Linked DNA regions of Oryzias latipes. The protein of the gene in region 2 purifies or fractionates together with the protein of the main gene of each other region. This does not show direct contact. Links are inferred from orthologs where the notes say so. Each region holds a gene or a part of one and is shown on either strand. Other genes may lie near its edges.

Region 1 (3,206 bases), about 21 Mb from region 2:
CTCCTTCATTCATACTTTTGGACCCCGTTGGGTTCTGGAGGACCGCTCGTGTGTGAATCTGGGTTTTTGGAAGAGGACATTTCCAGAGTCTCCTCTCCTGGACCGAGAACTTCAGGCTCTTTGCACTGAGACCTGAAGCATGTGGTTCTGACCCGCAGGCTCCTGTGACCCGTTTGTGTTTGCTGTTCCAGTGCACGACGGTGGTGTCCAGCTCCCTGATCGGACCGGGTCAGGTTCTGCAGCTGTACGACCTGAGCATTGACATCTTCAGCCGCTTCATCTACTGGACCAACGAGGCCACCAACGTCATCAACGTGACGCGCATGGACGGCAGCAGGGTGGGCGTGGTTCTGAACGGCGAGCAGGACCGACCGCGGGCCATCGTGGTGAACCCAGAGAGGGGGTCAGTGACCTTTCTGTTTGCACGTGCACGCTCCTGCGCTTTCATGCTCCCCGTCAGTTCATTGGAACTCCAGAACTGTCTGGAAAGATCAAAGTTCTGGTTTGGTTCTGACCGGCCCGTTTGGACCTGTACCTGCAGAAAACTCAGGCAGCGTCTCCCCTGCTGTCCCACAGGTACATGTACTTCACCAACCTGCAGGACCGCTCCCCCAAGATCGAGCGGGCGGCGCTTGACGGCACCGAGCGTGAGGTTCTGTTCTTCGGCGGGCTGGGGAAGCCCGTCGCCCTGGCCATCGACAATGACGTGGGGAAGCTGTTCTGGGTGGACTCGGACCTGCGGCGCATCGAGAGCAGCGACCTTTCCGGTGAGTCTGGGTCACAGTGGGATCTGCTGAATGCATAGAGATAGGTCTGCTTTTCAAAATAAAACTTCCTTCAGAGTAAAGTTGGTGGAGCAGAGAGGAACAGGTTTCCTTTGGCTCCATGTCTTGGATTGTTGGACGCCCCTCATTCCACACATTCATCAGATCCGTCGTCTACCTGCTGGTTCCTGGCCGCCGGGCTTTGGCTTCTTCATCTCTTGAAGTCTTCATCCTCACTTCCTGCTGGAGTCAGGATGCTTCATGTGGCCGTTTGCAAACAGCAGTGAAGTCTGGATTTATGATCTGTGACGGTTCTGCTCGTTCCCTCCTCGCTGTCTGACGTAAAACTTTATTGAAACTGTCAACAGTTTACACTCAGAGGCTCTGGCATCTGAGAATGTGCCGCGGGGGAGCGTCCGACCCTGGAATCTTCCGTTCTGTTGGGTCCGGTCGCTGAAGAACTTTTTTTCCGTCTGTATAATTCTGAGCATCCTTGTTCCTCCTCTTGCCTCCCCCGCCTCCCCCTTCAGCTCCTCTCCCCTTTTGTTGCCTCCGTTCCTGAAGTTTTTCCTTCCCCGGTGCTTTTATTTTGTTAAATCCTTCAGGAGCCAATCGGATCGTGATCGCAGACTCCAACATCCTGCAGCCGGTCGGGCTCACCGTGTTCGGAAACCATCTGTACTGGATCGACAAGCAGCAGCAGATGATCGAACGCATCGACAAGATGACGCGGGACGGCCGCACCAAGGTGCAGGCGCGCGTGTCCTACCTGAGCGACATCCACGCCGTGCACGAGCTGGACATGAGGGACTACGGTGAGTCCGGCTCACGCCACCAAAATGGTTGTGCGAAGGCGGCGGCCTCAACCTGGTTGACCTTGCAGGCAAACACCCGTGCACGTGGGACAACGGCGGCTGCTCGCACATCTGCATCGTGAAGGGCGACGGGACAACGCGCTGCTCCTGCCCCGTCCACCTGGTGCTGCTGCAGGACGAGCTCTCCTGTGGAGGTAAAGCGCCGCCCTGACCCGCACGGACGGGGCTCTGCGGCACCGCCCACATCACCTTCTGTCGTCCTCAGAGCCCCCCACCTGCTCGCCGGACCAGTTCGCCTGCACGTCCGGCGAGGTGGACTGCATCCCGCAGACGTGGAGGTGTGACGGCTACTCGGAATGCGACGACAGCAGCGACGAGGAGGACTGCCCCGTCTGCTCCGAGGACGAGTTCCAGTGCGACAGCCGCCAGTGCATCGACCTGAGCCTGCGCTGCAACGGGGAGGTCAACTGCCAGGACCGCTCCGACGAGAACAAGTGTGAAGGTGAGCGGGGCAGAGTGGCGAGGACGGGGCGCGGCTGGCGGGGGGGTCCGGCAGAAAAGCACTGGTCGTCAAAGTGCTGAGGCATGATGGGCTGTTTGACCGTCCCGGACTTCGCTGGTCCGCTCAGAAGGTTCTGGATTAAGATGTTCTGATGTTTGCGTCCGCAGTCCCGATCCGGTGTCCCGCCGATCAGTTCTCCTGCTCCAACGGTCAGTGCATCGGGAAGCACAAGAAGTGCGACCACAACATGGACTGCAGCGACAACTCTGACGAGATCGGCTGCTGTGAGTCTCCATGGCGACACGCCTCCCTAAAGCTCCGCCTCTGCTGTGAATGTGCTACATGCTAACAGGAGCTGCATGCTAACAGGAGCTACACTTTAGCTCCATGCTAAACGTATACTACATATTAATAAGCTAATAAGCTACACGCTAACAGGGGGTTAAGTGCTAATGGGGCTGTGTGCTAACGCGAGTTACATGCTAACAGCGGCTACGGGCTAACGGGGGAGGATGCCAAAAGTTTTTTTTTTGTTTGTTTTTCCTCCTGTTGGCTCCACTAAAACGTTTTTTTGATGTTTGTCAGACCCAACAGAGGAGCCGCCGCCTCCAACCAACAGCACCATCAACTCCATCGTGGGCGTGGTCATGGCCTTGTTCGTGGTGGGCGCCATCTATTTTGTGTGTCAGCGCGTCTTGTGTCCCCAAATGAAGGATGACGGCGAGACCGTCACCACCAACGACTTCGTGGTCCACGGGCCGTCGTCTGTGCCGCTGGGATATGTTCCACATCCGAGTTCGCTGTCCAGCTCGCTGCCCGGTGAGCACCGCGCTCTGAGCTTCAGACGCCTCGTTTCTGCGTTTTTAGGCTCCACCTCCTCCTGACATGACTCGCCCTCACCTGTCCACAGGTATGACCAGAGGGAAGTCTGTCATTGGTTCCCTAAGCATCATGGGCGGGAGCAGCGGCCCGCCATACGACCGGGCCCACGTCACCGGGGCCTCGTCCAGCAGCTCGTCCAGCACCAAGGGCACCTACTTTCCTCCGGTGAGGCCCGGCGCAACACGCCTCCCCGCCGCCACCACCTCACAGACGTCTTGGTAACCTGCTGCTCTGCCTTTCAGA
Region 2 (4,021 bases):
TCAAGCGGTAGAGCGGGTCGTCCAATGATCGAAGGGTCAGTGGTTCAATCCCCGCTCCCCCAGTGAACCGTTCCTGTGTCGTTGAGCAAGATACTTCCCCGTCCCTGCCTCCAGCGTGTCTCCACTGCTGCATGAATGTCCCGGTGATGATCATGTCTCACAAGTTATATCGTCTTCACAATTTTGATCAGTAACATCCCATTTTCCTCACATCCCGCAGCCCTAATCTGAATTACCAAAATGACTGTGAATGTCATATTTGAAGACCAGAAATAAACTGGAGAAAATGTCTGTCGGAAAAAATACTTTCATTAACATTAAACCTGGGTTTACATGAAATGTTACATATTAGTTATTATTAAATGCTTGTGGTTAACTTCTCACTTTAAATCGTGTGAAGACGAAAATAACACAAATAGTTATCTTATTCAGAAGTACAAATCATTGTGGTTTTGATCACACAAACAAATCTGTTCATTTCGTTTCACAGTCAATATTTTAGAAATGAGCTGGAAAGTGTCAATCGGAGGGTCCTGCGACGGTGTCCCACAGGTTTACAACGGCTTATAACAGAACGTAGCCAATCGCAATCAAGAAATTGCACACAGTTTTCAGAAAGTGCTGTGGGCTGCATATGATTGATCTTGTGACAGGAACCTGCAGCCGTTGGAACTTTGAACACATTTGGCCCATGGTCTGAAATTTGAACATGTCTGGTAAAACATGAAATATATTTTACTTCATATTCACATTATTAGATACTGTCACAGATTTCAGCGTGTGATAAAACACTAGCTAACAACATTTAGCGGGTTTCTTGTGTAGAAAACTTGCTTACCTTTCATCTGTTGTATTTCTTTTACTTTACTCAATCTCTGTAAAAGAAATTGTCTGCTTGTTTTTGTAGATTATGCATAAAATGACTAATTCAAAGGATGTAGTTACACTACAATGACTTAAAAGTCAGGAATGTCTTGGAATTCTGACATAATTATGTATTTTTGTTCCAGGAAACGTTAAGGAGCACGGGAACAAATGGACTGAACACGCTAAGATCAGCAGGTGACCTAGCTGGTACCACTTAGAACAATATAGAATCAATATTGTTCTAGTTCCAATGATGTTTTGATCTATTGTCAAAGTGTTCCCAGTGGTCTTATGATTATGATTACGGCAATCTTAGCCAAAATCCAACAACCGGTGTGGTTTTCTACGACACAGTCCTGCAGAGCATCAGTAGTTCATTGGAAATTTGCCTCTGAGTTTTGGGTGAGACTGTTGAGGCAGAGTAGGCCTGCCCTTTGTTTACACTCTCTACCGCTAGCTTACAGCCCCAACCCAACATTAGCAAGGCAACAAAAAAAGAACTGCAAGCAATATTGGAGCCATCCAGCTGACAGTTTAGATCCAGACTCCAGCTCGGATGAGGAAAATAAAGACGTTCATGGATCCATTTGTCTGCAGGTGGATGCATCAGAATGGAGCGGAGCAGGGAGCTTATGGCCCGTCGACTGTAGCACGAACGCCACTGCTGCAGGTTTTTTCAAACTGCATTTTTTCATCTGCTCCTGATTCACAATGATCTGAATAAGGAAATAATCCGAAAAGCAATTTGAAGCCTAATTTTATTTATATGTATCGTCAAGCGTGAGAAAAATGCTACAGGAACATGCTAGAAAAAGCAAAAACACAAATTTGAAAGGAGTGGGTCTCTCAGAATATTGGACATGTGCATCTTTTTGGGTTTTTGTACGTTTGTTGAACGGCAACTGACATTCTGAAATGATAATAAAGACGTTTTAGCACTGAAAATTATTTGGATTTATTGACAAAAACACAGAAAACAGTTCAACTAAGTGATCCCCTCCTTAATTCCAGTCACTTAAACATGCTATCGTAGTGGTGGTATTTATTTTAAAATTTATTTGCAGTTTTTAGCGTAACAAACTAAAAGCGTCATATTTTAAAACCCCTGAAATTCTATTGAACTTCTATAGGGACAACCAACCCCACAACCTGAGACCACCAACACCTTGTTGGGGTCGGTGGTCACATTGTACCAGAATGTCTTTGATGGTTTATTACTCCTTAACAAAGACCTTGGTAAAAAAGATACATACTTAAAGTTAGGACCTTAAGCTTTCATTTAGGAATCGCTGCTTTTCAAGATGAGCAATGCAAAGACGAGTACAAATGGTGACCGACAACCCCTGTCTCCCTTAAAAAAAATGATGTAGAAAAGTGAATTTAGATTATATTCCAAATTGTGCGCGTGGGACGTTCTGTGCACGCGCGGAGTTTGACACACGCTCATTGGTGACTTTTGTCTCTAATGTACCGCCATAAAACACTCCGCGGAGCTTAAAAGTGTTTGTTTTCGACGGTTTCCCGTCGTTAAATCCATCCGCCACAGTCACGACTTGTGTCCGTGAGGCACACGCGCGCGGCGAGCAACAGATGAGCGGCAGAAACGCGCGCGTGCCCCAAGCCGCGAGCCTCAAAGAGTGTGTGGGAAGAGATGGGGGGGGGGAGGGGGCACAAGGTGGCGGGTCGCAGATACCTTGTTCGCAGCGGAGGGTTCGGACATTATCTCCCGTCAACTTCCGTCCGTCCACTTTCCCCGAGCTGCGTGGCTCCTTTCCCGGCGGCAGCGGCAGTCCGACCGCTCGGCTCGTAGCTGTGGGAGAAGTTCTATTTTCTTCCCCCCCCCGCCGCCGATTCTCTTTATTTGGTCCGGTCCATGTGGCGGTGCCGAAAACTTCTTTTGTCCGCGCGTGTTTTCCTTCACATGTCGGCAGCGCGCTGGTTAATAATCCCTTCCTGGAAGAGAGAGACACCCCCCTCGCGCGCGGTGTGTGTCGCTCATTGATCTGGTTGTGTGTAAAACGGCGAAATGACGTGAATTCCCAGCAACGAGCCTTGCCCCCTTTTAAAGGGAAACCCGAAGCAGGAAATCGCAGCGGGTCGCTCTGCAGACACGCAACTGCCGTCTGAGAGACGAACGAGAAAAACCGCGCCGTTGAAGGGCTTTTAACCATCGTGCTTTGCGTTGCATCGACCATAAAACTAAACTGTCATGTTCAAAATAAGGGAGGAAAAAAAGGTGGAATATTTTTTATACCTCTAAAAAATGCCGCACAATGAAAGGTATAACGTCATAAAAATATTACAATTCATGCCGCAAAAGTATATTAACAATACATTAGATACAATGTTTTGAAAACCATGACTAAACCTGCAGTTTAAAATTACCAATTCAAATACCATTTGTTTTCATGTCTGAATCTCTCGTGCAGCCAACTATTAGTATCCATAAAAGACATCTAAAATAATCAGTGACATGAGATCACAGGAGTCAGTAAACTATTCATGACTTCTAGATAATGCAATTTAAAATAAAGCACCAAACCTTCCTGGAAACCCGAAAACAACAACACTCGATCAGGGGTTTAATTTCCCAGCCTAGGCAGACATTGTGTGTCCCACGCTGGTCATAAATGTAAGAAACGTGTATGTCACTTTGAATATGAGTGTCTGCTAAACAGCTAAGTGGATAAAAAGCTCCATTAAAGCTTGTTTGATACCATTTCCAACCTTTTTTAGGCTCATGCAGACAACAATATTATAGGATACAATTGTAAAAAGAAGTATTGAAGAAATCTGGATACAAATGAAGAAGAGGAACAGCAAAATGCAAAACATAATTGGTTAACGATAAAACTAAACATGGCAGTTTTTCAATATATAAAGATGTGCAAAAACTCTTATTTGTGAAATGTTTCTCTTAAATTTTTGGAAAAGTTTAGGAGAGTTTAACAACAATTTTTTTTCGAAGACGAGCCAAAAAAGACAATTATTGGATAATTACAACTGTGTTCTAACTCCCCCCAGATTGTTGGAGCTAACATTCTTGGATGTAGAGTTAGAAAGCAAAAGCCTACTGAAAACAGAATTGTAATTGTTTAATAGTATTAACACACAGTTCTGCCTCTACTGCCATGTGGTGAAAATCTGTGAAACT

Evidence for each region. The genes of interacting proteins can lie anywhere in the genome.
Region 1: the proteins of etv6 (region 2) and lrp6 purify together in Homo sapiens (affinity purification with mass spectrometry; 3 studies listed by BioGRID and IntAct, counting the BioPlex papers as one, with this or other methods). This does not show direct contact. The link is inferred for Oryzias latipes from reciprocal best matches to the Homo sapiens genes ETV6 and LRP6.

Annotation. Positions count from the first base shown.
Region 1 is NC_019881.2:23,640,492-23,643,697, reverse strand, and holds part of lrp6 (low-density lipoprotein receptor-related protein 6), read left to right. Parts: intron 1-191; coding exon 192-403; intron 404-576; coding exon 577-767; intron 768-1,369; coding exon 1,370-1,579; intron 1,580-1,647; coding exon 1,648-1,773; intron 1,774-1,844; coding exon 1,845-2,081; intron 2,082-2,248; coding exon 2,249-2,365; intron 2,366-2,666; coding exon 2,667-2,900; intron 2,901-2,991; coding exon 2,992-3,128; intron 3,129-3,205; coding exon 3,206-3,206. UniProt on the Homo sapiens protein: Component of the Wnt-Fzd-LRP5-LRP6 complex that triggers beta-catenin signaling through inducing aggregation of receptor-ligand complexes into ribosome-sized signalosomes.
Region 2 is NC_019881.2:2,234,364-2,238,384, forward strand, and holds the start of etv6 (transcription factor ETV6), read right to left. Parts: upstream 2,801-4,021; 5' UTR 2,588-2,800; coding exon 2,561-2,587; intron 1-2,560. UniProt on the Homo sapiens protein: Transcriptional repressor; binds to the DNA sequence 5'-CCGGAAGT-3'. Plays a role in hematopoiesis and malignant transformation.